Arabidopsis thaliana: one gene and its partners. The protein of the gene in region 2 interacts with the protein of the main gene of each other region in a pairwise test. Each region holds a gene or a part of one and is shown on either strand. Other genes may lie near its edges. The genes, in order: AT1G80890, ENODL15, AT5G25940 and NRAMP2.

What was found.
Region 1: the proteins of ENODL15 (region 2) and AT1G80890 interact in a protein complementation assay, tested with the Arabidopsis thaliana proteins (one large-scale study listed by BioGRID).
Region 3: the proteins of ENODL15 (region 2) and AT5G25940 interact in a protein complementation assay, tested with the Arabidopsis thaliana proteins (one large-scale study listed by BioGRID).
Region 4: the proteins of ENODL15 (region 2) and NRAMP2 interact in a protein complementation assay, tested with the Arabidopsis thaliana proteins (one large-scale study listed by BioGRID).

The regions. Positions count from the first base shown.
Region 1 is NC_003070.9:30,394,097-30,401,668, reverse strand, and holds AT1G80890 (GAG1At protein), read right to left. Parts: upstream 4,542-7,572; 5' UTR 4,459-4,541; coding exon 4,308-4,458; exon of another isoform or gene 3,886-4,307; coding exon 3,794-3,885; 3' UTR 3,459-3,793; downstream 1-3,458. Other genes in the region: AT1G80910 (vacuolar fusion CCZ1-like protein (DUF1712)), read right to left, coding at 1-3, 99-192, 345-526; MGT1 (magnesium transporter 1), read left to right, coding at 1,799-2,389, 2,460-2,921, 3,016-3,063, 3,150-3,380; AT1G80880 (Tetratricopeptide repeat (TPR)-like superfamily protein), read left to right, coding at 4,748-5,340, 5,446-6,475; AT1G80870 (Protein kinase superfamily protein), read right to left, coding at 7,458-7,572.
Region 2 is NC_003075.7:15,397,681-15,405,072, reverse strand, and holds ENODL15 (early nodulin-like protein 15), read right to left. Parts: upstream 3,434-7,392; 5' UTR 3,276-3,433; coding exon 3,092-3,275; intron 2,997-3,091; coding exon 2,647-2,996; 3' UTR 2,444-2,646; downstream 1-2,443. Other genes in the region: PGR3 (proton gradient regulation 3), read right to left, coding at 1-2,053; AT4G31830 (uncharacterized protein), read left to right, coding at 3,968-4,270. UniProt on the Arabidopsis thaliana protein: May act as a carbohydrate transporter. Required, together with ENODL11, ENODL12, ENODL13, ENODL14 and ENODL15, for male-female communication and pollen tube reception and burst at the synergid cell surface of the female gametophyte.
Region 3 is NC_003076.8:9,052,185-9,060,155, forward strand, and holds AT5G25940 (early nodulin-like protein), read right to left. Parts: upstream 3,072-7,971; 5' UTR 2,968-3,071; coding exon 2,862-2,967; intron 2,778-2,861; coding exon 2,716-2,777; intron 2,459-2,715; coding exon 2,383-2,458; exon of another isoform or gene 2,172-2,382; coding exon 2,068-2,171; 3' UTR 1,938-2,067; downstream 1-1,937. Other genes in the region: AT5G25930 (kinase family with leucine-rich repeat domain-containing protein), read left to right, coding at 1-1,294, 1,376-1,794; AT5G25950 (AslB, putative (DUF239)), read right to left, coding at 5,745-6,128, 6,296-6,442, 6,534-6,587, 6,667-6,828, 6,927-7,211, 7,319-7,405, 7,497-7,676.
Region 4 is NC_003070.9:17,306,149-17,315,375, forward strand, and holds NRAMP2 (NRAMP metal ion transporter 2), read right to left. Parts: upstream 5,358-9,227; 5' UTR 5,161-5,357; coding exon 4,589-5,160; intron 4,219-4,588; coding exon 4,082-4,218; intron 3,994-4,081; coding exon 3,341-3,993; intron 3,126-3,340; coding exon 2,895-3,125; 3' UTR 2,655-2,894; downstream 1-2,654. Other genes in the region: CYCA3;4 (CYCLIN A3;4), read left to right, coding at 604-924, 1,197-1,429, 1,524-1,679, 1,780-1,813, 1,904-2,053, 2,136-2,270, 2,356-2,439. UniProt on the Arabidopsis thaliana protein: Seems to be involved in iron uptake.

The DNA of each region.
Region 1 (7,572 bases), on a different chromosome or scaffold from region 2:
AATCTACCAAAGTCTAAATCAAATTTTGTTCTTTTTATGCATATGAACAAAGTGCAAATCAATTGCTAAAACAAGTGAAAGAGTTGATAATGTTGTACCATGACCATCCAGATATCGGGCTCGGCCTCATAGAAAACATGGGAATGTCTCTCTGCTTCAATTACCTCACAAGCTGCCTCCGGGGAGAAAAGTCTGTGTTTATATTCCATAAACCACGTCTCAGGAACACCCAACAATACAGGAAAAGCTAATAACGCTCAAAATTTATGTGAACATGAGACAACATCAATCAATCCATGAACTCGAAAAATCTGTGTAAAGAAGGAAAATCTCTAGTAGCTAACCTCGTGAACGTGATAAGCCCTTCACTGAGACCTATAACCGATAGCTGAGTGGAGAAGGTTAGATCAGGAGGATAGAAGAACAAGATCTTGTCCAGTTCCTGTCCTTCGTGTTGGCCTCTTCTTAAGTCAAACACGCAAAGACGAAGGCTTTCAGTACCAGAGCTCATGGACGCCATTCCCATAGCTTCTAAGAGCTCATTAAACACCTTAAAAAGCACACAGAAATGTGTATCGGAAATCAGGCAATAATACAAACTCCGTATCTAAAATTCATAACTTTAAGGCACATCAAATCACCAGAGAACCCTACAATTTACGATTTTGGAGGTTCAGGTAATTGCAAGTTAATCAATTTCGTTAAGAAAATTGCGTAATCCATATAAATTGATTACCTTTGAGGATGAACCCTAAGAACAAAGTCAAAGGAGTGATCGGCCTTCAATTCACAAAGTTGATTTCTGATGATTGTGGACTCAGATCTACCAGAAAATTTTAGAAGCAAAACTTGGTGGTGAGAGGAAACCAGGTAAACGGGTCACCGGGTTAGGATCTAAAATGGACTCGGGTCGTAGAGGATCTTCAGATTCTCATCGGCTTACGTCATCCATTGTCTTCTCCAATGATCCCTTATTTTTACTTTTTCTAATCGCACGTTGTTGTCACCTATACTCGAATAATTTTTGATTTCGTCTCCTCAATCTATGAATAATTCCTAAACCGGTTATAACATTTCAGATTTCACATATCATTCTCTCATTTAGTCGTCACGCTTGGATCAAATAATTGAATACTAATTGAATTGATGCATTAAATTATTGAACAAACATTAATGAAATAGATAGCTAGAGCATTTTATAATGAAAGTTGCGTTAAACCGGTAAATTTGAGTCTCAACCAATATAAATTAGTTAAGAATCGGTTTGCATTACTCACTACATGTAATTTGATTTCGTCTACAAAGTACCAAAACGCAAAAAAGGTTCTAACTTTTGCTTCTTCTTCGCATTCACTCAAACCAAACTAGAAGACGGAATCCGGCCAAGTCACTTCCGCAATCCTTTCGAATTTAGATTTTAGGGTTACTTTGTCGGAGATTGTTAATTTGGAGGTGTGAATTGAAATTTTCTCTACAATTTCCGACCTTTTTGGTATATATTGTCTCTGTTTTATTGTTTTGGGACGATCCATCTGATTTTGTGGGATATGACCGATGAAACACTCTATAGTATTCTGATCTTTTCCTTGTGATGTATGCTTTCTTAAGCTTCCATTTTTTATCAGAGAGATTAGTCTGTATTTATTACTTCGCTTCTGGTATTTGAAAGACGATCCTGCTTGGAGAAATTTCTATTCTTGACTTTTTATTTATTTTATCAAATAGACCTTGAAGAGATTCTTTTTATATTTCATTCCTTATACTTACCTGGTTTTGTAGTATCTGGAGATTGGCAACAATGTCTGAACTCAAAGAGCGTTTGCTTCCTCCAAGACCTGCTTCGGCTATTAACCTTAGAGGTGATGCAGGCTCTCGTCCTTCTCCTTCAGGGAGACAACCACTCCTTGGAGTTGATGTTTTGGGTCTCAAGAAGCGTGGACAAGGCCTTAAGTCGTGGATTCGTGTTGATACTTCTGCCAATTCTCAGGTCATTGAGGTTGATAAGTTCACTATGATGCGTAGATGTGATTTACCAGCACGGGATTTAAGGCTGCTTGATCCTTTGTTTGTGTATCCGTCAACTATTCTTGGTAGAGAGAAGGCTATTGTTGTTAACTTAGAGCAGATCCGTTGTATTATTACTGCGGATGAGGTTTTGCTCTTGAATTCCCTTGACAACTATGTGCTTCGCTATGTTGTTGAGCTGCAGCAGAGACTAAAGGCAAGTTCTGTTACTGAGGTTTGGAATCAGGACAGTCTCGAATTGAGCAGGAGGAGGAGTAGGAGTTTAGACAATGTGCTTCAGAACTCATCCCCTGATTATTTACCTTTCGAGTTCAGGGCTCTTGAAGTTGCACTTGAAGCTGCTTGTACCTTCCTTGATTCCCAGGTCAGTGATTGATTCACAACTTATTGTTATTTAGTATGCTCAGCATTGAGAATAGATTTTCCCTTTGTAGGCTTCAGAGTTAGAGATTGAGGCATACCCATTATTGGATGAGCTTACCTCAAAGATCAGTACTCTAAACTTGGAGCGTGCTCGTAGACTAAAGAGCAGACTTGTAGCATTGACGAGACGAGTTCAGAAGGTTCGGGATGAGATTGAACAGCTAATGGACGATGATGGGGATATGGCAGAAATGTATCTAACAGAGAAGAAGAAGAGAATGGAAGGATCTTTATATGGTGATCAATCTTTACCTGTTTATCGAACAAATGATTGTTTTTCTCTGTCTGCGCCAGTTTCTCCTGTTTCTTCTCCTCCTGAGTCCCGTAGACTTGAGAAAAGCTTGAGCATTGTAAGGAGCCGGCATGACAGTGCTAGGAGCTCAGAAGACGCAACCGAGAATATAGAGGAGCTAGAGATGTTGCTGGAAGCATACTTTGTTGTCATTGACAGCACTCTCAACAAGCTAACCTCGGTAACTAAAAACCTCGCCTTTGTGATCATTCATCATCTTGTTTTAACAGCTTTTAAAAGCGGTTTAATCACCTGCAACTCTCTTTACTCTTCAGTTAAAGGAGTACATCGATGATACCGAAGATTTCATCAACATTCAATTGGTATACCTTGAAATCTTGATCTTTTTTAGATATCTTATTTGCTTAGAAAACCTTAAGAATCTGCTGAAAATTTCTGGAATTTGCAGGATAACGTACGGAATCAGCTGATCCAATTCGAGCTGCTGCTAACTACTGCCACATTCGTTGTAGCCATCTTCGGGGTTGTAGCCGGGATCTTTGGGATGAATTTTGAGATAGACTTCTTTGAAAAGCCTGGTGCTTTCAAATGGGTTTTAGCCATTACTGGAGTGTGTGGCCTTGTTGTATTTTTGGCATTCCTCTGGTACTACAAACGTAGAAGACTCATGCCTCTGTGAAGACATAACTACCCTGACACGTAGACGATTGTTTTACTGTTTATGTTGCTTAAATCTATACATTAATCGCCTGTGACCTTTACAAGATAAAACCCCGTGTATTTTTTTTTTGGGTTACTGAAAGATTATTAAGCAAACCATACCAGACTCATCTTGATCTTTCACTTTATGGATTGTCCTAGTCGAAACTCACAGCTCACACAACAGTATCGTAAAGGATGAATCCTTTAACTTATCGCAAATTTACATATCTTCGATAAAGAAACCTAAGTGTAGAGTGTAAAGATACATATCTGAACTGAACCACACTCTAGAACAGACATGGCTGAGTTTATAGACATGGAAACGATGATGTATGGATCCATTCACAAAATGTAGTTGACTAGAGTCTCCATCCAAGTGGGGGGAGATGACTACTTATCCGAGGATGAAGATGATGAGAGACGAGCTTTTCGAGCTTTATCAGCTTTTTCCAAGTAATCTTGGTGAGAACGATGCTTTGATCCTGAAACAAACCAGATTTACCAAACAACAAAAGCCAATAAGAGAAACAATTAGCCTATATAATGAACAAAACAAGGAGAATATTACCAAATGTCACATATAGCAAATAAGATATTTAACCATTGAGATTATGCAATTGAATCGATGTGTGATCATCAGGGGAAAAAGCAAACAAACTTGGTAAAAAATGTGATCATGCAAGTCTATTATGATCCAAACAGAATAAACATTGTGACTCATCATTATCATATAATCAAACTCTATTTGATCGACCACTTGATTGCATTTGCCAAGAAATATAAAGTTAGAAACTTTAGATTCTAAATCTTTCAGCTATTGATATCATCATCCTCTTCCATTTCGGAATCTACAGAGAAACATCTATTTATATATTTCAATCTAAATCGCCCAGAGAAAACGAACCTTGATTCATTAGATACCAAGGGATTCCGAAGATGATGGAGATAATCCCGATCCCAGCCAAAACGTGCTTCTTCTCCCCACTGTAGACATAGTGCTCCATCTTTGCCCTAATTCCTCCTCCTCCCAAATTGCTCTTGCTCTCATTTCCCATCTCGATCTCCACAGGTTTTGCTTCTTCTTCTTCTTCTTCTTCTTCTTCTTCTTCTTCTTCTTCTTCTTCTAGGGTTTATCAGGAATTAGATCCCTCTCTCTCTCGGATCTTTTAAAGAAATCTAAAATGGGCCCTATTTAGGCCCATTCATATTAGTGTTACTTTGTTTATTACCATATTAGACCCCATATTATCTATATATTCGTTTTTGACCCCATTAACTTCATATCCTCATCCCATTAAGACCATGTTTGAAATGTATTAATTTAAGCCTTCTCACTCACTCGCTATGGCCGCGATCGTTGCCATTGGTAGGAAACTCGCGCGAACGCCACAATGGCGGATTGTTCAGCATCAATCTCTGCTACGTCGTGCAGTGTCGACGTCGTTTTCGAGCTCAGTTTCCCAAAATCATTCCTTCTCTTCAGCATTTCATCGAGCAGGTCATGTGCATTCTCAAGTTTTAAGCTATCTCCCACATTTTGCCTCTTCTAATCGCTTCTCCACCAAAACCATCTCCGAAACATTTGATATCAACTTAACAGCATTGGCTCCGTTAGAAAAGGGTCTGATTGATTTAATCAGACAGGTCTCTGAGCTGGAGTCAGAGGCGGATGCCATGGCTTCTCTGGAGGACTCATCATTTGATCTAAATCATGATTCTTTCTACTCCTTAATCTGGGAATTAAGAGATGAATGGAGGCTTGCCTTTCTAGCATTCAAATGGGGAGAGAAACGCGGCTGTGATGATCAGAAATCTTGTGATTTGATGATCTGGGTGTTGGGTAATCATCAAAAGTTCAACATTGCTTGGTGTTTGATCCGTGATATGTTTAATGTTTCAAAGGATACTAGAAAGGCCATGTTTCTCATGATGGACAGGTTCGGTTTCGTCTTCTTGATAAAAGTTTCTCTTTTGTTGTGCTAAATTGAAAGATTTACTAGCTAGGTATTGAATTGGTTGTCTTGGTGACGGTGTTGATGTAGATATGCTGCTGCTAATGATACTAGCCAAGCTATTCGGACATTTGATATTATGGATAAGTTTAAACACACTCCTTATGATGAAGCATTTCAAGGATTGCTATGTGCATTGTGTAGACATGGCCACATTGAAAAAGCTGAAGAGTTCATGCTTGCAAGCAAAAAGCTCTTTCCGGTGGATGTTGAGGGATTCAACGTAATTCTTAATGGTTGGTGTAACATTTGGACTGATGTGACTGAAGCAAAGAGGATTTGGCGAGAGATGGGGAATTACTGTATCACGCCTAACAAGGACTCTTACAGTCACATGATCTCTTGCTTCTCTAAAGTTGGGAACCTTTTTGATTCTCTCAGGCTATACGATGAAATGAAGAAACGGGGATTGGCTCCAGGGATTGAAGTTTACAATTCCTTGGTTTATGTGTTGACCCGTGAGGATTGCTTTGATGAAGCTATGAAGCTTATGAAAAAGTTGAACGAGGAAGGATTAAAGCCAGATTCAGTGACCTACAACTCGATGATACGCCCCCTTTGTGAGGCTGGAAAGCTGGACGTAGCCAGGAATGTATTGGCAACCATGATTAGTGAGAACCTTAGTCCAACAGTTGATACATTTCATGCATTCCTTGAGGCTGTAAATTTCGAGAAAACTTTAGAGGTTTTAGGCCAAATGAAGATCTCTGATTTAGGTCCTACAGAAGAGACCTTTCTTCTTATTCTTGGAAAATTGTTCAAGGGAAAGCAACCAGAAAATGCTTTGAAGATCTGGGCAGAAATGGATCGTTTTGAGATAGTGGCTAATCCTGCTCTTTACTTGGCTACAATACAGGGCCTTTTGTCATGTGGGTGGCTTGAAAAGGCCAGAGAGATCTATTCAGAGATGAAATCAAAGGGGTTCGTAGGAAATCCTATGCTCCAGAAACTTCTTGAGGAGCAAAAGGTGAAGGGGGTCAGAAAAAGCAAGAGGATGAATCTTCAAAAAGTTGGTTCTCAGGAAGGCTACAAGGGTCAACGATCAGTAGACAGAAAATAATCAGATAGGGGTAAGACTTGAAGTTTCTCATCAAACGATCACTGAAATAATGACTCAATTCTCAAACCTCACGGTCTCCACTCTTTCACTACATCCGCCGTGCAGTTTTCCAGGTAATCTTTTCGTCAGTTTACTAGATTTGCTGATCGCTACCTTTGCATATTCCTAATATCAATGAATCTGCAAAACTAATCATTTGCAGCCATGCTGATTCAGGAATCTCTCTCCGGATTACATGATAGACGTTAAAAACTAGTGTGATTCTTGATTGTTACACGTCCACGCATCGCTGCACGTTCAAGTTACAAGAAGTTAAAGTTCAATGTGTTATGATATGAGCCAGACTGCAGAACAGGCAAAGGCTGAGCTCACTGTGTTTCCAAGGCAAGATCTTCAGAGCTCTCTCATAGTCTATTTGTGTCCTTTTCTGTATTCTTTTGTCCTTGGACTTCATTTTCTTATATAATATTTTTGTATTCTGTGACTCGTGAACCAATGATGAATGTTATGGCCTTGGATTCTTTTATGTGTTGCAATTTTTTCATGCCACATTTCAAGGAACCATCAGTTTACTCCATCAAGAGTATGGAAAACATCGAAAAACCTTTTAAATATTGATATATAAATTAGTATAAACTAAAAACTAAAAACGTTTTTCGATAAATGAAATAGGTGTTAAAATTCTAAATAAACATAATTGGACAATCAATTAGTTTACACATATTTAAAATTTAACACTTAAAAAACAAAAATATTAGGTATAGTTAAGAAAATAAGACAATTTATCTAAAATTATTTAATCAATCGAAAAAGTTTAAAGTTTAAATATTTATATATAAGATTTTAAATTATATATATAGTTTACAAAAATTACAACATAATACAATTCTCAAAAGCTAAAACTCTTTCAAGTTACATCCAACAATTTCGAAAATGAAAAGATCATATCAAACCTCGAACTACTACTCTGCATTGCCCTGTTTTAGCTTCTCCGCTTCGATCTACTGCCGTAAACTTTTCCCGGTGGCGATGGAGAAAACTCGAAAGCAGTGGAGGAAATGTCCATTTCCCCTCTCAAGATTCTCACAACTTCACTA
Region 2 (7,392 bases):
GGAGAAGAGTGCAGAGTGTAACAAAATCAGGGTAAACCAGTTTCTTCATCTGGTGGAAGAAACACATTGCCTCTTTGACTTGACCATTCTTCACCAAACCAAAGATAATCGTATTGTAAGTAAAAACATCTGGGACACAACCCATGTCCATCATCTTGAACAACATCTTCAAGGCTAGAGTCACCTCGTCATTTTTGCAAAGGCAATCAAAGAGAGTGTTGAAAGTAATTGTGTTAGGTGGACAACCTTTCTGCACCATCCCCTCGAACAACTCAATGGCCTCTTGAATTTTTCCATTTTTGCCTAGACCTGCGAGCAATGTGTTGTAAGTCACAACTGTAGGCTTCAGCTTCATTTCCTTCATTCTCATAAACATCTTCCACGCCTCATCTACTCTATCAGCTTTGTAAAGTGTATTGATCAAAGAATTAACAACAATAACATCAGGTTCACAACCATTCTCCATCATCTCAGAAAGCAGCTTGATGGCTTCATCTATCTCCCCAACCTTACTGTAGCACTTCATCATCATGTTATAAGTTACTGAATCAGGGACCAGTCCTATGTCTTTCAAGCCATAGAAGATTTGTTTCGCTTCTCGGTCCCTTCCCGCTTTAGCTAGACTGTAGAGAGACGCATTACAGGCTACAATGTTCGGAGCTATTCCTTTGGTTTTCATCTTCTCAAAAGTCTCAAGAGCACTGACGGAATCTCCAGACTTTCCATAGTAATCAATGAAAACTATGTACGTATAGGCAGTGGGCTTCACGCCCAGAGACTCCATATTACCAAACAGTTCAAGTGCATCATCCAACCGGTGGACTCTTAGAAGACCGCAAATCAATGTGTTATATGTATGAAGGTTCGGTAAGATACCTTGGTCCCTCATCACATCCAATGTATCAAATGCTTCACCAAAATTCCCAGCTTTGCACAGAGCATCCACGAGAATGGTAAAGGTTACAACATCAGGTACATGACCATCCTTCTCCATTTCACTCCAAAACTGCTTCACTGAATCCAGATCTCTGTTATCACTAAACCTGTCCAGCAAAGTAATGTAAGTTACACGATCTGGTTTGTGTCTTCCTGTTTTCATCTTTTCGAAAACCTCCTTCGCACAATCGAGCTTCCTAGCAGTACACAGAGCATCAATAAGAACAGTGTAAGTAACTACATCAGGTCCACATCCTTCATCATCCATCCGCTTCAGTATTTCATATGCTTCATTAATCTTCCCTGCCCTACCAAGCACCCGAATACATATCGTAAAGGTGTAAACATTCGGCTTTAACCCCAAAGTCTCCATCTCTTTAAGTAAACCCATCACAGAATCAATATCCCTTCTTTTCCCCAAACCTACCATAAGTGAAGAGTAAGTCTGCAAACTAGGTCTAAAACCTTCCAAGATCATTCTTCTATAAACCTCCATTGCCTCTGTGCAAAACCTAGACTTAAGCAGAAGATGAATCAACCCATTGTATGAATATGCATTCAACACAAAACCAAATTCTCTCATCTTCCGAAGTGCATAAGGTGCTTGCTTCAATCCACCTTTCACAGAAAGACTCTTGAAGATAGTCAAGTAAGTATTAGTATCCCTCTTTATGATTCTTTTCTGCATCAAATCAAACACATAAGCCATTTCCTCAAGTTTACCATCAACCCTCAAAGCTTCAAGCATGTAGTTACAAGTCTCAGTAGTGTGAACTAAATTCAAATTCCCAGCCACTGATTTGAAATACGAAAATGAAGAATCAGTATCAGGAAACGACTTTAAACCCCTCGTTACTTCTTCACTCGATGACAAATCAGGTTTTGAGCTCTTTCTTATCATAGAACCCGAAAAGTCAGAACTTTTCATGGAGACTACACTACATCTCATACTCTTCCTTCTCCAGTGTTTCTTCCGAGACCCAATCTTCAAAGCGTGGAACTTTAATCCTCCAGTAACCAAATTATCGCGACATTTTGCTTTGATGTTACTAACAAGACAAGCATCACCAACTGATATATCACCACACAAACTCGCAGAGCAGAGTAACGCGACCATTCTAGAGATAAGCCAAGCAAGCAAAACAATTCAATTCTCCGGCAAAAATTGAAACGAAAACAGAGATTAACGATGATGATTCATCACATTTCAAGTGGCGCAGATATAACTAACAAAACACAAACACGTGCTGAATAGCTATGAGCATTTTGATTCGTCTCCGTTCACCGGCTGAAAAGAGCGCGAGGGAGTCGATTTCGGTGAACCGGAGATTTTTGATGAAAGAATTTTCGAAGCAGAATAATAAAAAACTTGCCGAGAGGATAAAATCAGACTCGCTCCACTCGATCCTTACCGTTTTGCTTCCCTCCCAAAATATCTTTAGGCCCAATTCAGGCCCATTTTTAGGCCTCTTTTCACGACAGTCCAGGTTTCTTTGTGTTGCTGTAAATTACCTTTTTGGGTACTAAATTCAAAATTCTCATTCACTTTTGTTTTGTTTTCTTTGTTGATTGTTGATAGATCCAACTAATTTATCCAGAATTGAAAAAGAGGAAGAACAATTTAGATTAAAATAAATTTAATGTAGTAAATAACAAAGATTTCTACTTTATATTCCAAAATTAATAAATAGAATTAAGACTAATTGTCTTTTAAAAGAAGAAGGCCCATAATCCAAGAACAAGCCCAAATACGACACTAAATCCGCCGGCGAGCTTAGCGGCACCACTAGTAGGAGCTACGGCTGGACCGTCGAACTCAGATGGCGAAGGACCTGGAGAGAAAGCAGAGTTACGAGGAGTGATGACGACTAGGCGTAGCTTCTGACCCTTTTGACAATGACCCTCTGTTCCACTGACGAAGTAGACCGGACCAGCTTGGTCAAGCTTCACCTTTGTGTTCCCGTCGGTGTAGCTGGCTTTAGGGCTAGTGGTGTTGCATTTCTCGTATGCTTCTCGTGTCACTTGCAAAACCGAGTCTTTACCGGCTTCGTACTTGAATACTGTAATAAACATGTGACGATGTCAGAAACAGAGTATATTGAAGATCACACAAAATGTCTAATTGAAAAAAAAAAGTTGAAAATTATGGATTTACCGATAAAGTCGCCGACTTTGAAGCGAGCCTTTTGAGCCCATTCGTTAAAGGAGAAAGAAGAGGAAGGAGGGATCTTCCAGTCACCGGATTTTCCACCGACGGTAACCTCATTTGCATTCACGGACGAAAAGAAGAAGACAGAGATGCAGAGGAAGATGGTGACCAAAAGAGAAGAAGAAGCCATTGATTAGAATCTAAAACCTTAAAAGTATTAGAGTGTGTAATGTGTTTTAAAGTGTGTTGAGGATGGAGAGAGTGTGGATCTTGTGTGGTTTATATAAAGGTAGAGGACTTGGAAACTAGCCGTTTAGGAATTACGAAAAATTAAAAGGAAAAAATGGTAAATGTTAATGTATCCGTTGGAGAGATGATAAAGGCAACGTAACGGTTAGGATTGAGCGACAAAACTTGAACTCTGATAGAGAAAGTGATTTCACGGTCTTCTAGGAAGACTGGTCAAGCTAAGCTGTTTCTGTTTTTTGTTTTTGTACTTTACTTTTTGTTTGCTAGTGGGAACTGGGTTTATTGGGCCTTGAAGTTGATAAAAGATGAATAAAAGACATATCGCCTAAAGCCCATATGAGAAGCAGAAGACAAAAACCTCCAACTTTGGGCATAAATTTTGATTATAGTTAAAAGTCCAGACCCAATTTGGCACCTGGCTTAGTTACGATTCTAAGGCATGACACCTGCCTAATATGTTTATTACAGAAAATAAAGAGAATCAGCTAGGTGTCCCTTATTGAACACATTAACAAACTCCAACGACACTACGTGTCTTCGTGACTCTTACTATATCCAAAAACCTATAGCTAAAGCTGAATTTTCCATGATTAGTATAGTCCCAACCAAAAAAATACTGAAGAAGGCATAAGCATGGCCGGAGAAGAAGACTGGAGAAAAACAGCAGATACGACGAAGATGAGCTCGGAGGGAGTAAAAGCTGCCGGCGTTGAGTCATCAAAGAGGCCGCCAGGAAGTAATCCAGGTGGTGTTCTTCATCAACGCCGTAACTTGCCATACAGTTACACGACGATGGCTCTAGCCGGATTAGCTATCTCGGGGGCCATCATGTACACTGTTATGTATGCTAAGAAGAAGCCGGAAGCCACTGCCACTGATGTAGCTAAGGCTGCCACAGGGACGGCTAAACCTGAAGATACACATCCAAGAAAGTAAAATTTCAAGGGAAGAATTAAAGGGTTTATCTTCTTCTTCTTTTTTTGCTTTTGTAATTTTGTTCTTGCTTCATGCTCTTGTTGGAACTTCTTATTTACTTGTAATAAAATAACATAACGTGTCCAAGAATGGCTTATGTCAACTACTAGAGCAAGCAGAAGAATAAAATGGGAGGAATAGAGTAGTCTTGTGTAGCAAATGCATGCGTATAATTTAGATCACCGAATCCTCTACATTTCTCTGTGTTATGTCGCTTAAAAGTAGGGCCATTATTGTGGGCTTCTTTTGCGTATTAATATTTTTGGGCCATATCCTAAAAGATGTGTAGAGCATCATCATGCATGGCATTCAAAGACTACAAATCCGGTTTTGCAGTCTTTTGATATGACTTTGATTACGTTTTTATATTTCCAGTCTTAATGAAAAATAGAAAATTCCAATTGTTTATGGAATTTATTCAGTTTGGTTTTGATTTAGTTTTAGGGTAAATTCTCTAACAAGAAAACTCAATTTGAAAATTTCGAACGGTGTGATTATTTTGAATCGGCAATGTGGTCTTGATTACTTACTGTCAAGTGCCAAATAAAAGTTTAAGGAAAGAAATAGTAATTTTTTAGTCAACTACAAAATAATAGCAAGTTGATTCTATGAGACAATTGGTGATTCGCATGTCTTTAAAAAACGTTGATTGGCATAAAATAAGATCGTAACGTTATAAATATGAAAAAATTAGGTGAGTCCACTTAATGGCCCAGAAAAGTAAGTGTATTGACATAGGCTGTTAGGTAGAAACACTCATGTGTTGCTTTATGAGCATAAAACCTGGACGACAAACTTTTTTTTCTCTCCTCACCAACTGCACACATTTTATTTATAAATCAACATTTTCGTCTTTAAATTAGGCTGATCATCGTTTACTTTCTAATCAATTCTGATAAAACATTCAAAGTACTACTACTAAAAGCTTCAGTTCAAGTATCCACTACTTAGAAACATATCTAACGGCTCGTCCATAAGCCATAACTCATGACTAACAATTAAATATCTAAAATCTTCACTTTCCAATTTTTCAATAACAAAAAGATAGAAATTCAATGACTTAAATGAGATTTTGCATAAGTTTGGTATGTAACGTCATTAGAATCAACTCTCTCACTCGTAAATATTAATTAGAGCTACAAATTTAATAGATACGTACATTATATATATACATTGTTTTGTGCAAAATAAAACAAATGGCCACGTTATTTTTTACTTGGATAATAGGGTTTGTGTACTTATTCCTCAAACCCATATGATAACATTTCGTCATTTGGCAAATACAGCTTACTATTACGAAACTCACACCACTATTACAAAACATCCAATTGAGTCTTCTCCATATTGGTGGAGTCTTCTATCATTTTATTTCATGATGTTCAAGAAGAAAACAATAAGATAAAGATAGACCTGAAAACGACCAAAGTTATTCTGCGGAAACTATTTGTACATTCCAAATAATTCAAGTAAGTTTTACACAAATAAAACTAAGGGTAAAAACTAATTTTCGTCTACTTATAAAAAGGTAAAAGAAGTTAAAAAAAAAAGAGTAGGAAATTATAAAGAAATTTATGAAGAAAGGAGAAAAGGAAGAGAAGAAGCACAAGGTTGCAATTATGGAGGTTTGGACCCATAGTCAGTGTTCACCATCATTTGTTTATGATGCCTTATGCTCACGCCTGTCTATAATTATCTTTCTATTATTTTTCAACATTAAACCTTTACTATTAGTCGTTTGACGTTAAACATTCATATCTCAACGATCAAACAATAAAAAGCATTCTCATCTCAGAACCGAAATTTGGTTTCGATTGGATTGACTATATTCTCCACGGTTCGATTAAATGTGAGGTTTCCGGATTGTCGTCTTAAATTATTCACTAAGAGTAATCGTTTGTGTTATAGGTATATGCCATGCTTTTTATGTTCTCTATGACATAAAAATACAAACGCAATACTATATTGACTACAGTATATTCCATCAATTCTCTGTTTAGGGTACATATTCATTTGATACCATTTGCAGTCTTCCAGTCAATTTATTTTTGTCATTTGATGTATTATTTATTGGGAAAAATGTTGAAAAATGCGCCAACTTTCAAATTTGGGACGAAAAAAGCATGAACTTTCGAAATGTCATTTAAATCTCAAAGTTTGAGTTGGCTTATTAAAAAATGTCTAAGTTTCGTTGACGTGGTCATTTAAGGCATGCCGTGAAATTTGCGTTAACAGAAAATTAACGGAGTCAACTTTCCGTTAACAGTTCAAAACGACGTCGTTTTAAAAATTAAAAATAAGAAGAAAATCGGACACAACCTAGTGTCAAACCGACGATTCCCTGCAGCTGTAATTAAGCCTTCAACCATGGAGCTACTGTAAACCACGGAGCTACTGTAAACCATGGAGCTACTGTAAACTTGTAACAACATTGATTGAGCTTATATATATGTAACTAGTTGAAACTAATAGAACTCCATTGTTGCCTGAGAAGAAAACAGCGTGAGCAGGTGGCGTGGAATCACGTCAAATATGAGCGTGAGGTTGAGATCGTGTGGCTCGTCTATGTCCAATGATGGTTTGTTTGGGGAGAGTACCGTTCTCGGATTTATACAATTGGAGATCCGTTTAATGTTGTCGATTTCAAGTATTGTGAACTCTTGATTACATCTGATTCAGAGTTATTTTCTGGACTTGTTCACGCTGTTTATTACGCAGGCAATAATGGAGCTTTTAGGTTTGTGTTTTTCAATTAATTACATGTACGAATATATATATCTATTAGCTTAAGTAAACACCAAAAGCGTGAGTAGCTCAACGGTTTAATGCTTGACTACAGATCCAGTGATCTAAGGTTCTAGCTCAACGGAAATTTCACGGCACGCTTTAAAATGCAAGGTCAACAAAACTTAGACATTTTTTTAAGAAGTCAACCCAAACTTTAAGATTTAAATGACATTTCGAAAATTCATGCTTTTTTCGTCCCAAATTTGAAAATTAGCGCATTTTTTGACATTTTTCCTATTATTTATTTTCAACCATTTAAGCATGGATTTGAAACTTTAACCTTAAGCATACATACATGT
Region 3 (7,971 bases), on a different chromosome or scaffold from region 2:
AACTCATTCACCGGAGAGTTACCGGAGAATGTTGCTTGGAATATGTCGAGGATCGAGATTGATAACAATCGATTTTCCGGTGAGATTCCGAAGAAAATCGGTACTTGGTCTTCCTTAGTTGAGTTTAAGGCGGGAAACAATCAGTTTTCTGGTGAGTTTCCGAAGGAATTGACTTCTCTTTCGAATCTCATATCGATCTTTCTCGATGAGAATGATCTCACCGGTGAATTACCGGATGAGATCATCTCATGGAAGTCGTTGATAACGTTAAGTTTATCCAAGAACAAGCTTTCCGGGGAAATTCCGAGAGCTTTAGGATTGTTGCCACGTCTGCTCAATCTTGATCTATCGGAGAATCAATTCTCCGGTGGAATCCCACCGGAGATTGGGAGCCTGAAGCTGACAACATTTAATGTGTCATCAAATAGACTCACTGGAGGAATACCAGAGCAACTTGATAATCTTGCTTACGAGAGAAGTTTCTTGAACAACTCTAATCTTTGTGCAGACAACCCGGTTCTCAGCTTACCGGATTGTCGGAAACAGCGCCGGGGATCAAGAGGGTTCCCCGGGAAAATCCTCGCGATGATTCTAGTCATCGCGGTTCTGCTTCTCACCATTACTCTGTTTGTTACGTTCTTTGTGGTTAGGGACTACACAAGGAAACAAAGAAGAAGAGGTCTAGAGACGTGGAAACTCACTTCATTTCATAGAGTAGATTTTGCGGAATCCGACATCGTGTCGAATCTGATGGAACACTACGTGATCGGTAGTGGCGGATCGGGCAAAGTTTACAAGATTTTCGTCGAAAGCTCGGGACAATGTGTGGCAGTGAAGAGGATATGGGACAGCAAGAAACTGGACCAGAAACTTGAGAAGGAGTTTATTGCTGAAGTTGAGATTCTTGGAACGATCAGGCACTCGAATATAGTGAAACTATTGTGTTGTATCTCAAGGGAAGATTCAAAGCTTCTAGTGTATGAGTATCTCGAGAAACGCAGTCTTGATCAATGGTTACATGGAAAGAAGAAGGGAGGTACCGTAGAGGCTAATAACCTTACATGGTCACAGAGGTTGAATATCGCAGTTGGAGCAGCTCAAGGACTTTGCTATATGCATCATGATTGTACTCCCGCAATCATACATAGAGATGTCAAGTCGAGTAACATCTTGCTTGATTCTGAATTCAACGCGAAGATTGCAGATTTCGGGTTGGCTAAACTGTTGATTAAGCAAAACCAAGAACCTCATACCATGTCAGCTGTTGCTGGATCCTTTGGTTACATTGCTCCAGGTAATACCCGTAAACAAAAAACATTCTTTAGAGTCGAATAGAGTCGCTCATTGTGTGATCTCTAATATTTTTATGTTGCAGAATACGCATATACGTCAAAGGTAGATGAGAAGATCGATGTGTACAGCTTCGGGGTAGTTTTGCTAGAGCTGGTGACTGGAAGAGAAGGAAACAACGGAGATGAACACACAAACTTAGCAGATTGGTCATGGAAACATTACCAATCTGGAAAACCGACCGCAGAGGCGTTTGATGAGGACATCAAAGAAGCTTCCACGACTGAGGCGATGACAACAGTTTTCAAGCTAGGTCTCATGTGTACTAACACATTGCCTAGTCATAGACCTTCCATGAAAGAGGTCTTGTATGTTCTGCGCCAACAAGGACTTGAGGCGACGAAGAAGACTGCAACAGAGGCATATGAGGCACCTCTACTAGTTAGTTTATCGGGTCGAAGGACAAGTAAAAGGGTAGAAGATGAAGATTTAGGTTTTGTATAATCAAATAATCACAACACTTGATGTTGTTTTTTTTGTGAAATGTACAAATGTATTAGAAACCATTTAGTTTTTGTGTAAGCAAAGTTTTAGTTAAGAGTATAACTACCAGCTTGTAACTTATTTGAGAACAAAATCTGAAAGTCTGAATAAAAAATGGTCTTAAAGAATTTGTTATTCCTTATAATAATAACACTCTTATTAAGAATCAAGGCAAAATATGCATACAAAACAGAGAAAGATGATGATTGATTTGTGTTACAATAAGAAGAGAAATTATTTAGAGTCTTGCTGAACTTTCTTTAACTGAGCCTCGGTGTTTCTTCTTGCGCCTTGTAGAATCGTTTTATCCGCGGTTATGAAGAACGCAGCGATAGAAGCTGTTCCAATGATCACCATAATCACAAGATAGAAATCAGAAGAAAATTGTGGAGAAATGAATGTACGAATACTTAAAAACCCCAAACTCAACTAGGTTCAAAAGGGAAGTTCGAGGTTTCTACAACAATGTTAAAGCTAGTATCTTTTTTCTACTTAGTTCCAGGAAGAACATATAGTAATGATTTAAGGCATATTGCTGATAGAGCTAACCTGAAGAAATAATGAGTGCTTGAGCAGTGTAGTTGAGGTTTGCCTTAGCCCACGGGAACATACGAACGGCAGCTACCTGTTACGAAAACAAGGCATGCTTATGTACCAAATTCATATCTTATATACACATCAAAAAGAATGTGACTCTACTTGGTGTATTCAGAAATCACAAAATGAATAGGTAACAAAATTGAAACTCTTGATTATTACAGAACATGAGATTGGTGAGTCACTTTTGTCTTAAAATTCAACAACAAAGAAACATAACTCTTACATTTAATTCATTTAAGATCTCAATTTAAAAAATTTAGATAAGTGAGATTATATGATTACTGTGGGAATCGCACTGGCGACGGCGGCAACGGCGGCGGCCTTAGCTCCGGCAATAGCTCCGGCTGTAACATAATCCAAAGTCATCAATTTAAAAGATTTTTTTTAGGGGAAAAAAGAGAGAGAGAGACGGAGAAAGAAGAAGAGACCTTGTTTGGAAGTTTCGGCTCGATGGATCTTAGCAATCTCGTCGGGAGAAGCTATGACGAAGAGATTCTGCTGCCTCCGGTTACCCATTTCTGACCGATTTTCCATTTTCAGTGTCGCTTTTTTGATCTTTCGATTTCAAGGAGAGAGAGAGAGAGAGAGACGGGTCGCGATTTGCCTTTTTCTTTGGTTAGGAAATAAATGATTAGGACGAAAATTAAAAATTCGTTTTTTTTTTTTATAAGTTGGGAATCTTTCACCAAAATAATGAAACGCCAATATTGAAAACAAAGTTGTCAAAATACTATAGTCTATAAAACGCCAATTTAGAAATGTATTTCAATCATGTATTTAGAATAATTTGTGTTAGAAAACAGATAAAACAATTATTATGTTATAGATTATTTTTAAAATAAAATAAAATTCAGTGGTTCGTAAATGTTTGTTATTGAGAATATTTTAAATTTTAGATTTTTAGTATTTTTAATGCACAATGGTCTTTTGGAGCGGTTTTAGAAATCGACTTAAGAAATGTTTGGAGTCAATTTTGTTACCATACGGATATCTTTAGAGATATAAGAAATTAATCGATTCAGTTTTAGATAAAATTTATAAGTGAAAAAATGATTAAAAAAATATAATAAATTAGTTAATTTCATTAATGATGATATTTTTGTATAGAAAGATAAATTAAAACTTAATTTTATATGTGATTAAAATAGTAATTTTTAAAAAATTGGTTAGTTTATTTTAATTACATAAAATTTAAAATAAAATTTTTGGTATAGAAGTTGAGTTTTAAATGAATTCGGCCTTAATGCTTCAAACATACAAAAGCGAAGATATAGAGAGCCCATCAAAAGTACTAGGGACCAACAGAAAATGTTAAGATTTTATTAATAGTTCAATATTCTTTTTTTAAAAATATTATAATACCTGAATTGGACTTGAGCCAAAGTTTTACAAATCAAAACAACAAATACAAAACGGAGGCAAGAATCTGACAATATCTCCGGTAGACGAGATCTTACTTCGGCGGTAGTTCAATATTGTTCTAATGATTTAACTTGATTGCTTAGATTGGATGATAGAATGTATTTCTAGTGTTCTAATTTAATTGGTTACTTGAACTTTGATACCCTTCTATTGCTATGGTTTTTATACACTTGTGGCAATGAGTGATATTGTAAATTAAATTAGAAAATATGGTGCTAAGGGATATGTGATATAATGCATATATATCCGAGCTACTCGAAAGTCGAAACAGGGTCTAAGCTTCCACCTATGGCTAATTGAGTACTTATGTGCATGAAACATGAGCATAAGAGGTTGATGGAGCTGTTTTACTGTATGCATCTTTCTGCAACCCAAATCCAAAGAGTAGTTGTAAATTTCATGAAAGTGAATGTAATGTCTATAGTCATGTCATAATGTTACTGACAGTCCAAGAGGTGAAGAGCGGTGTGCGGGTGTCTCCAAAATTGTATGTGGTATATTGTGTTTTTAGTGTCTTATGTCCTTTGTCTAGTGTTTGTTTTGAGTTGTTTGTCACATTTTTGTTCGTTTTTAATGTATTTTTCGGTTGTTTTGTACAAGTTTTACGAAGTTATACTGGAATTGGAGACTTTTTAAGTGAAAAACAGACGTTAGGAGATGAAACGGAAAAATGGTGATTCAAGACAACTCCGATGAATGCCATCAGACAACTTTTTGATGCTTAATTTTAAATTTTCTATCAAATTCCACTGGAAAATGGCATCGGACAATTCCCTGATTGAGCACCAATATAATTGAACCCTACCGCAAGAAGTATTGCCTCCTATAAAAACAAGTTGAGAACATTTTCAATGCGAGTTGTCTATAAAATTTTCGGTTGCAAATAAAATATAAATATTATTATTTTGGATCCTTAATTACATTTTTCCTACTACTTATAGAGCTTACATATCTGTTGTTTCTACTTTTACTTATTTTTTTAGTTATTGTGAAACAAAACATATATATTAATTTATACGAATTAAAGGTTTTCAGTACCTTATAAAGGTTAAAGACTATTTATTTATTTTTTATTTAATACAAAATTTGGTATATAAGCTCCATAAAGGGTAGCAAATATTTAATTTAATACAAAATTAATTATATGTACATAATTATATATATATATATAGTAACTTAGACACAATTAAAATTTGCCTTCTCCTTATAGTATAATTCAATTATATAATATATATATATATATATATATATGATTTTACTTTTCCTCTTTTTTAAGTTGATAAGAAACATACACAAAACTATATATACAAATTAATAAAAATATGCATATTTAACGTACATTTGGCTCATTCTTTGTGCTATGAAACTAAGATTAACTACCAAAGATAATCCCAAAAGTCATGAACTTATGGTTGATCCTTCCTTTTGGTGGAACTTATTATCCACAGAATTGTTTTTATTCATTTGAGTATTTTTTATTACTATTGATGTCGACGGTAATATATACTTATATAGAGGTTGAAACTAGTTTATTTTATTTTTTATGTATACACGGAAAAATTATTTTATCACATTTTATTTTTCAACATGTCTCTTTGTTCTACATGTAGAGGTTGAAACTTTCCACCGCGGCATCAAGACTCGATGCAATTTGTGATTAGCAGTTTAGAGACTTCCTTTTGATTTGGCTCAGTTTCTTTTACCCTCCCTATTGTGTTTTCCACTTTCTTAGGCTTTGTTAGTAATGAAAAAAATTAAAAGATTATGATCAATATAAGATCTTCTCTGATTAGTTTAAATTAGAAGACAAACAAAATTCCGGCCAGGTCCTCCGAAGATAAAACTAACAAAAAAACAGGAGAATGAACATTGACAAAATCAACATGAGATTAAGGACAACGAGAGTTCCGGCCAGGTCCTCCGAAGTAAAAGTGGGGCTCTGACATATATGTTTTCCGGTGGAGCAGTGTAGAATAACAGTTGTACTCATCAGCATACTCGGATAGAAACTGGGGGTATTTGAGCTGCATGGAATAGTCCTTGATCCTAAGGTTTGTGTGGAAACAAGCTTCGGCCCAGATGTAAGATGCCCATTGTCCACTCCCCATTGCGGTTGTCGTGTGTGGCTTCTTCAATACTACGTTAGGGCTATGTACTTCTCCACCCCACTGCACAGCTGTGGCGCTGTGTTTTAGGTAGTTGAATAGTGTACCCGGCCAATAACCCAACACGTTGTTTTCGCAAGTCAACCACCAGTTCCCACTGTTTGGATCCTACAAATACAATCGATCATAAAGCATTAAAGGACAATACAAGCCCGTTCCAAAACATATTCAAAAAAATTTAACACCGGTTTTTGGGGCATTAACCAAAAGGGACAATTTTATAATTTTGTAAAATTGTGTAGAATGTTGATCATATATAAACTAGAAAATCTTACAAGGAATATGCTAACGGTGATGTGATATTGCGTACTAGAGGAACTCGAAACAGGTTCAACGGTTGCACCAAGGGCAAATTTTTTACTTGTTTGCACAAAACCCGCGCATAAGAGATTGATGCACCCTGTTTTAGTGTATCCATCTGTCTGAAAATCCAAATAGAAAGCGTAGTTATATAAACTCACGTAAGTGATTGAGATATTTCAAAGTTGGTAGTTATATAAAAGTGTTACTCACAGTCCAGGAGATGAAGAGACGGGTACGTGAGTCTCCGAAAACAGCTGGATTCACCTGAAATATAGGATTTTGTTAATCGGGTCACGGTTTACTTCTAAAGCAAAGTATAATACTTTTAGCAATGGAAACGTACCATCCAACCACCTTCAACGCTCTCAAAATTCTCTGAGAGACCACCAACCAGCCAGATCTGGGCAGTACTGTAGTCGGTAGCTTCAACCCTCGGAGGGTTCCAAATATTTATATCAGATTGAGCTCCGACAAAATTGAACCCTAGGGCCACAATAAATGCCTCCTATACCATCATCCACAAAGCATAAGTGTTTCTAGTTAACCATATGAAGCTTTTATTAGTCTTAAAAAAATATATTTAAGACCTTACACTGTACGTACCGATCTTAACCTTGGTTGGGCTTCGTTTATTTTTGCAGGTGTTATATTGAAATTACCCTTATGTTGAAGTGCGTTGTCTAGAAAGCTGTATTTGTGAGGAGTTTTCCTCCCAAAATGAGACGGTGAAGAGGCTCTGCTTATGTCTTCTCTACTAACTCTACGAACCGGTATGGTCCCCATTGGACATTTTCCGGATTTAGACCAAATCTGAGATTTTATGTGTTCAGAAGAACCGTTGTTTGGTATAGTAGTCTTCTTTGTACCAAATTTCACACTCGGTTTCATCTGCATGCATAAATGTGGTTTCTTTATATACAAAGCAAAATATAACCAAATTTTGTATATACAAAATCTTTGATTTATATGATCGTTATATAGTAGAATTTGTTTACCTGAATTTTGTGGTTTTTTAAAGCGGGATGATCAAAGGCATGTTGTTTATAGATATCTATACAATCTATTATATCTCCATCTTCGCTCTACAAATAAAATTACAATCGATTTGGAAACTCAGAAAACCAAAAACTATAACAAAGATGTTATATATTCGTATTCAGATTCAGTCCATACCTTGATGGTCTTCAACGCAGGTTTATTAAGAGCCTTCAATTTCAGATCAATATCTAAAGAACCTTTCCCATATGCTTCATTGTAAAAACCACACAAAATCACAAAGATTAAGAAAAATCTCATTGTGGCTGTTTGTCTTGGAGTTCTTAGGATATAGGCTTTTGAATCTTGAAACTTCATTCTTATAAAGGTTACAAAACAATAAGGTGTTTTTTATATAATTAATGTGATAATATCAATCACATTAATATCAACACAAAGATTGAGAAAAAACGGAAGTCATGACAACAATCATCTGCAGATTTGGGAAACTTATATATGGTAAACAAAATCTTTGATATGAAACAGCTCAACTTACCAAATATGTTTTTTATTTATTTTAAAATAACTACTCACCAAATATATATGAATGCTCTGGTAGTTACTACTCCTATATTTTGCTTTGCTTTTAATTACGTCGATCCAAAACACATAA
Region 4 (9,227 bases), on a different chromosome or scaffold from region 2:
TAGGAAATGGTGTTAAATGAATTCCTAGTTCAATGATTTTTTTTTATTATTGTTTAGACAAAATATTTTCATATGGTTTAGTGGATTTATTTTTCTGTATCCAAAAAAAAATCAAAAATGTAAAACTAAACCCAAAAAAAGTATAAAAAAAAAACAAATGCAAAACCGATTTTTTTTTAAATTTTTTAAAAGCATCTCACTTAATTCCGAATCTTAACCAAAACCGAAAAAAAAACAAATCAACTACTAATAATTTCCTTAATTAAAAGCATTCATTGATTGTTATTTTCATCTTTAATTAAGTGAATAAAACAATAATGATTGTCTAAATATAGGAGTGAAACTTTTTGAAGGGTAAAAAGGAGAAAACAGCCGCCAAATAAATGTGGAAATGAAATCTGCAAAAAAGCCCCAAATTTTGGATACTCAAAAGTCAAATCCCTAAAAATTTCGAAATCGGAAAATTTACACAGAGAAGCGCCATGACCTAAAAATCTCAAAACTTCCCCAACAAAAATGGCGCTTTTACTCAACCCATTTCCTTTTACCTACCTTGTACATTACCCCTTTTCTCAAATCTCACTTTCCCACTGAAATAACCCCATGGCGGAGAATCAGAACTGTGCGAGGATGACGAGAGCGGCGGCGAAACGAAAAGCGTCGTCCATGGCGTTAGACGAAAACCCAGTTAGTAAGAAGAGAGTTGTTCTCGGAGAGCTTCCGAATATGTCCAATGTCGTTGCTGTACCCAATCAAGAAAGAGAGACCCTTAAGGCTAAAACAAGTGTTAATACCTCGAAGAGGCAGATGAAGAAGGCTTTGATGATTCCTGAAGCTAGCGTACTAATCGAATCGAGATCTGTTGATCCTCAGATGTGTGAGCCTTTTGCTAGTGATATTTGTGCTTATCTCCGTGAAATGGAGGTAAAAAAAAAATCATCTTTAGTAGATTTCTTGATTCCATCATTTTTGATCTTAGTGATCTTATGGTATCAGTTTATGTTATTTTGGAATTGGTACAGTGTTGGACTTGATATTGATTAATGGGTTTGGTTAAAGTTGTGGATTTGATAAGTTTCTGAGATTTTGTCCAATCACAGCTTGCTCTTATGGTTATATGATATGTTTGGAGAAATTAGAGATGATTGATACTTTGGGACTAATGGTTATTGTTTTTGGATTGGTAAAATTTTCAGGGGAAGCCGAAACATAGACCACTACCTGATTATATTGAAAAGGTTCAGAGTGATTTAACTCCACACATGAGAGCGGTTTTGGTGGATTGGTTAGTGGAGGTTGCTGAGGAGTACAAGCTTGTTTCGGATACGCTTTATCTCACTATCTCCTATGTTGATAGATTCTTGTCTGTGAAGCCTATTAACAGGCAGAAGCTTCAGCTTGTGGGAGTTTCTGCAATGCTTATTGCGTCGTAAGCATCTTAATCCTCTTTGTTTATTGTTGTGTTGGTGTGAAGAGTCTTAGATGGTTGGCTTATGGAATCTTTATTTTTGCTTTTAAAAAAGTAGGAAATATGAAGAGATAGGTCCTCCTAAAGTTGAAGATTTTTGTTACATTACGGATAATACATTTACTAAACAAGAAGTGGTGTCGATGGAGGCGGATATACTTCTTGCTCTGCAGTTTGAATTAGGAAGCCCAACCATCAAAACATTCCTAAGGTTCGACTCTGAAACAGTCTGGTGTTTAAACTTATGATTTCATGGTTTTACTTGCCCTTGTTTTGATTGTTATTCTCTTTTTTATGTCGTGTTTGTGCAGACGGTTTACACGGGTTGCACAAGAAGATTTCAAAGTAAGCTCAAAATCGATGTACCTGTAAACTGTGGCATTTGCATCTCATAATTTCTATTGTTAAATCTTCTTTTTTTTCATGCCTTTGCAGGACTCACAATTGCAGATAGAGTTCCTTTGTTGCTATCTATCAGAATTGAGTATGTTAGATTACACCTGTGTGAAGTATTTGCCATCTCTTTTGTCTGCTTCAGCTGTATTTCTTGCCCGGTTCATCATCCGTCCAAAACAACATCCTTGGGTAAGCAAATTAAGAACCATGACAGGTTCTTATACAGAAAAAGTTCTTTATATTCTAAATCCTCTTCTGGTGATGCAAACAGAATCAAATGCTAGAAGAATACACAAAGTACAAAGCAGCTGATCTACAAGTGTGCGTGGGTATCATACATGACTTGTATCTAAGCAGAAGAGGAAACACTCTAGAAGCTGTTAGAAATAAGTACAAGCAACACAAGGTAAATTCAACAATTCAATGATGTAACTTTAAACTTGTGATATATTGCAACAAGAACATTCTAATATCTGATTCTCTTGGTACAGTACAAGTGCGTTGCGACCATGCCTGTTTCACCGGAGCTACCTCTTGCTTTCTTTGAAGATATTACCATTAGAGGAATGGCGTAAAAGAAGCTTGAAGCTTATGTATTGGAAGTGTTAGTTACCTGAATTTTGGGTTGTATATATCTGTTAGAATGGCAGATTAGTATTGAGTATTATCTCTTTTAGCGTATGTTCAATGATTTTTGCTAACACTAGTTAAGAAACTTTTTTTTTTTTGCTTGACCATTTTTTCAATGGTTTATTAGATTTTTATTGATTTGTTTTCTGCTTTTTTCTATGATGTAAAAGCCTCTTTAAATCATATTGGAATGTGCACATCCTCTTAACAAAAACAAAAAAGTACAACAAAGACTTTGCCACTACATATTTGTGATGTTAACATTCACAAAAAGCTAAGCTAACTCTTATCACCACTTTGGCGTTTCAATATGTATAAGACTATAGTGGATGAAGTTTGTTTACTGTATCTTCTTGACATGTAACAAATGGTCTTGAGGGCAGTTATTTTTGTGCAGCTACTAGCTATTGGAGACGGACACTCTTTTGGGAAGTTCTATGGAAGAGGATGACCAAGGAGAAGGAAAAAAGTTGCTGTGTGAAATGAGGTACACTATAAAGGCGATATAAGCAGTCGTCCAGACGCAGACCGTAACTCCAAACAGAAACCCGTCGACTTCTGATACAAAGAAATCCAACAGAAGATACCCATTGATGATCATTACAAGTGCAGCCACAGTCCAAGCTATTCTCTGCAATGTAATCAATAAATCCAATCAACTTACAAATACTCACTCTTCATGCTTCTCTATTCCATTGAAGGACTTTCAATTCTACATGTTTACTAAGATAATTGCACAAACAGTGAAACTAAAAAAGTCGAGACACCTAAAACGATAAGACTCAACACTAATTCACCTATTGTGGTATCCTATGGAGACTTGTAGTAAAAGAAGTGGAAATTTACCTGGAGAATAGGCCCAATCTTGAAGTCTCCCATAATTTCTTCTTTGGATACCAAGGTTAGAAGAGGGAGAAGAGCAAAAGGAATTTGTACAGACTGAAGGACATTGAGCCATTCATTCAAAACATCCAAGGAAGCTTCAGAAGTATTGAACACGATTGCCACAATCATTGTAGGCACAATAGCACAGCTTCTTGTTATTACTGCCCTCATCCATTTCTTAAGCCGGAGATTCAGAAAACCGCCCATTATAAACTGTCCAGCATATGTACCAGTTATCGTACTGCTTTGTCCGGCTGCTAACAACCCGATACCCCAGATATAAAGAATCGGAAGAAGCCCGCCTCCAAACTTTTCTTGAAGATACTGACCAGCATTAACTAGGCCAATGTTATTAGCTTTCTCAGTTCCATAAAACCCCTTTGCAAAGACAGTAGTCACAAACAAGTTAATCATGAAGGAGATGAAAAGTGCGACGGATGACTCGATCAAATAGTAATTAAGCGCTTCTTGAACCCGGGATTTCCTCTTCGGATCGATTTTCCTCGATTGTACAAGAGCCGAATGCAAAAACACATTGTGAGGCATTATAACACAGCCAACAACACCTACAGCTTGCCTAATTGTCTTTGAGCTAAGTCTCGGTAGTAAAATACCTATCCATAAACACAAAGATTTGATTTTTAAGCACTCAAATCAAAGCAAATAAAGTGAAATTCAAGAGTAAAAATCTGAAATCTTTACCTATCATAAGTTCTTTCCCACTCGGTTTTGTTTCACCAAACATCCAAGCAAAGGACAAACCCATAGTTGCGATCAAAACTGCAAAAACAGCTTCTAACTTCCTCACACCGTAATTCTCTAGAAACAAAAATAAAAAACTGTTTGCAACAAATTCATTAGCCAAGTTTTCAAAATACAAAAAAGCAAGTTTCTTAATTTCAGATTCGATCACAAATCGTTAAACCAATTCTCTACTGATTTGTGAGTTTGGATCATCTTAGCAAAGTTTTACAAGAAAACAGCCAAAGTAAAAGCAAATTCTCAACTTCAGATTGAATCATGAATCTCTAAACCAAGTTTCTACTGATTTGTGAGTTCGAATGATCCATACTCAAACTCAATACCGCTAAGATGATCCGCAAAGTTTTAAAATTTCAGAATGAATCATAAGATTCTCCAAACCAAGTCTCTACTAATTCTACGAATCCAACATCTCTAAAGAACGAATAGAGTATCGAAAGGACTCACCAATCGGAAGCAGTAATAACAACACCAGCCCAAAGAGGCAAGAAGCCACGGCTAAGAATCTGAATAGCAATAGCACTACCAATAACCTCTTGAATATCAGCACCAATCAAAGCAAGTTCCGCCATAGACCAAAGCACATACCTAGCCCAAGTAGGATACTCATCACGACAAAGCTCAGCTAAATGACGACCAGTAGCTACACCGACTCTAGCTGACAACATCTGAATCAACAACCCCATAGCTGTTGCCCACATTAGTAGCCACAACAGAGAATAGCCAGCGATTGCACCAGCTTGTAGATCTCCTTCTAGATTCCCTGGATCCAAAAACGCTATACTCATTAAGAAACCTGGACCGGTGAATAACCAGAGCTTCCGCCATGAGAATGGCGGTGGTGTGTCTCCGGTTGTTGGATCGTCGGGTGATTCGAAATCGACGATTAGGATCTTTTCGTTTGTTTCGAAAGCCGCTTCGGATTCGGAATCGGTGGATGGGAGAGATTGTGAAGGAGGAGGAGGAGGAAGAAGACGGTCTTCCTCTTCTTCGAGATTCTCTTTGACGTCGTTTTCCATGGAGGAAGAGGGAATATTCGGTGAGGGTTAAATCGGAATATTCTGTCGGTGGTGGTGGTGGTGTCGTCGACGTACCTGAATTTTGAATTGGAGGGATAAAAGAAGAAGAAGACGCAGGCACTTAATCAGATGCTTTTTAAAAAAGAGATTAATGCGTTTCTTTTTCGTAACTTTTTGGTACCAGATTCAACTTTATTATATTAATGCCTAAAAAAGAAGAAAAACTTTATGTTATAAATTTGCTTTGAAATTATGTATTTAGTGTAGTGTTGCCATAGTTGTATTGTCACAAATTTGAATAAAGCTTTGCTTTTTAATGACGTTAATTGAATACAAGGTAGTGAATAAAGTGTGTGTTTTATACATTTTTAGATCCATTGCTTGATCTATCTCTTCCTCTCTTTTATAGATCACAATGTGTGAAACTAAATATCCCACACCAAAAGTTTATTGAGTTTCCAATATAAGATTCATGATTAGTTTTTTAGAGCTTCATGAATAGCATAGTTGATATGATTGTATTACTCACATTCCAAAAATTTATGAGCAGAAACTCAACCATTGATAAAATGTTTTTTTTTTTTTGATGCGATGCAAATTATGAAAATTTAACCTCCTCATCCGAAAGTCTTTTAACTAGAACTCAGTTTTAATCTCATCAGAAATTACTGGTTTACATTCAATAAGCTTACTAAATTTTTTTGCTGAATTTTCCAAAGTGAACAAATCATGAGGATTTTTAGTTAAGTGAATATTTAGTGACTATTTTTCTTTTTTTCTTTTTTTTTTGTATCATGAGGATATTTAGTGACTAGTATTTTTGTCAATCCCTTCATGTGTGTTTTCATCACTCATTATTTAAATCATAAAAACATGTTATTCGTTTTTTTTGTGTGTTTCAACTTTCAAGCATGAACATAATTAGTATTTCTACTGTACCTTCTTTTACCATATTTCAATGAGTATCTACATAAAATAGCCATGGATTCAAAAAAAATTAAGAGAATAGCCATGAGCTACAGGGGTAAGTCGGAAACACATGTAATTTTACATGTATAACCTTAGACATCAAAGCGACAAGACACTGTTTGGGGAGCGTATGATTCTGGGTTTGAAATTTGAATTCTATTGCATTATTCGGCCCAAGTTTGTCTCACGACCAAAGTAATAACCCTAAAATTAAAAAAAAAAAAAAAAAAAAAAATTTTTCTCACCGAAAAAACCTCTCTCGGCGGCGATTAATTTCATCGTCGTTGCTCTCATCTTTTCGATCCAAGTAGTAGTTGTTTCTAGAAATTGATTGTGTTTCCGATTATCCTTTTCAAATCGTCTTCTCGTTGCAGTCGCCGGTGACAATCGAAGGATTAATTTTTGGTCTTCCCTCGCCGACGATTTGGGTAAGTAGAACCACTGATTTCCGATTATTTACAGTTGCTCTTCTTATTTCTCTTCCCCTATACCTTTAATTGCATGTCAATCATCGCTTGTGTCTAGATCTAAAGTTCGGTTCGTTGTTAACTAACCCTAATTTTGTTTCGTGTACTGTTGATGAATGAAAGTTAGGCGACCATCGAGAGTTTGCGGCTAAAGTCTCTGTTTTTTTTTTGGGAATCCTTCTGTGCTTTTTTGGAAAACACATGAGGTTTGTAAATATTGATGTGCTTTGTTTGAATAACCCACGAGGTTTGTAGATATTGCGTCCTTTATCTGTGTTTCTTACATGCAACTAACCCATTTTTTGTCTCTTACTATTCACGAAAGAAGATTAGGCGATATCGGAGGCTTTTGTGGCTGACGCTGTGGGTTTTGTTTGAAAAACACTTGAGGTTTGTAAATATTGTCTTTTGATCTGTTCTCTTTTATACTATACTAACCCAAATTTTGAACGTCTTACGTTCCATGACTGCAGATTCGGCGATATCGAGGATTTTGAACGTCTTACGTTCCATTCATTTTCGTTTATTTATCGCCGATCTTCTTCTATTTCTTCCCCTTTATACTTCAATTGCATAGAAAATAACGATTGTGGCCAGATCTAAAGTTCGGTTCTTTTTTCCCTCTATCTATATCTTCTTCTATTTCTTCCCATGTATACTTCCATAAGTATCTTGCATAGGGTTCTTACCTGTTGTGTCCAGATCTAAGTTTTGATTCTTTTTTATTTATTCTCTACTAACCCTCAATTTTTTCTTAATCTCTCTACATGAAGTTAGATAAGGCGAGATCTGGGAATTTCCTCAAACTCTTTGGATTCTGCTTCGTCCGTCTAGGGTTTTTGTTTAAAAACAAGAGGTTTGTTCATATTTTGCATGTTATTTATAGTTGGTTCATGTATTTTATATAGATAACATGTTATGTCTACTCTATAATGTGTTCTTGTATAATGATGCTTGTTATTTTGACTAATTGGTTTCTCTCTATAATATGTTTTCATTTTAAATTTCATGCTTTTATACCTTTTGGTCTGCCATTAAGTACTCTGTTATTTCATTTGTTTGCATTTGTTTTATAGTTTTTTGTATGTGTTTTATATAGCTGCTAATCTTTTTTTCCTTCTTTTGCCGTTTGCGAGAGAAGTTTTAATTCGTTCTCCTCCTATCCAATCTGGTATTCGCCAATGAATCTGGTAAGTTCAGTCCTGGGTTTCCGATTATTTATCTGTGTCTTCTTCTATTTCTTCCCATGTATACTTACATAAGTATCCTACATAGAGTTCTTACCGATTGTGTCCAGATCTAAGTTTTGGTTCTTTTTTATTTAGTCTCTACTAACCCTCAATTTTTTCTTAATCTCTCTACATGAAGTTAGATAAGGCGAGATCTGGAAATTTCCTCAAATTTTGTGGATTCTTTTTCGTCCGTTTAGGGGTTAAAAAAAGAAGAAGAGGTTTGTTCATATTATGCATGTTATTTATAGCTGGTTCATGTATTTTATATAGATAACATGCTATGTTTATTCTATAAGGTGTTTTTCTATAATGATGCTTGTTATTTATAGTCATTGATTTATCTGTATACTATGTTTTCATTTTAGATTTTATACTTTTATACCTTTAAAAAGGGATCGAGATGTGTTTGAGTTGATTTTCGGATCCAGTGATATAACTACACAAATACATATTTATATACATGCATATATATATATATATATAATTAAAACTGGATTTTTCTCAAAATTTTTTATAAAATTGGTTGCTTGGGTTCCCTATTTATTATCTTAGGGTTTAGTATTATGTAATTGAAAACAATTTTAAATTGGTTGCTTGTGTTCCCTATTCTCATATTGACAGTAATCCCTATCTAGTTTCCTCTTAAATTCATGTTTTTCTTTCAAATTTCAGTGTTTTCTATCCGTTGTATGTTTTGGATTTTTCTCAAAAAAAATCTATAAAATTGGTTGCTTGCGTTCCCTATATATTATCTTAGGGTTTAGTATTATGTAATTGAAAACAATTTTAAATTGGTTGCTTGGTTTCTCTATTTTCATATTGACAATAATCCCTATCGAGTTTCTTCTTAAATTCATGTTTTTTTTTTCAAATTTCCAGAGGTGAACTACTTTCTATAGAGTGAAAAACTAATATAATGGAGACATGCTTTTTCCAGTATATCATTTTCTTAACGTTGTTGTTTCACTTGGTGTTTTTCTAGACCAATGTTGTCTATATTCTCAGTGGAGAAGTTAATGGTGACTCGCTGGGGAGTGCATCATGTTGTCCTCCTTTGTTATACTTATAAGAAACATGTTGTTTCTACACTTTCTTTCACCCTTTACCCAAATGCAACATTGGAACCAGTATATAATACTGTCGCCGCATTTAATGTAGTAAACACGTATCTAATATTTTCCAACAGACTGTTCATTTTGTCAAATCGCAAATAAAATGTGTCAATCCAATTATGTAGCAAGTTGCATAATGATGATTACTGATATAACCAAACATTTCATGTAATGTATGATACCTATAAATTGATACTTTGTCGAGCTTATAACCGAATGAATAACATCAAGCCCAATACAAAATTTCTAACTCAAGCCTATTGTTTTCAAATTCGTCAGTATAACTT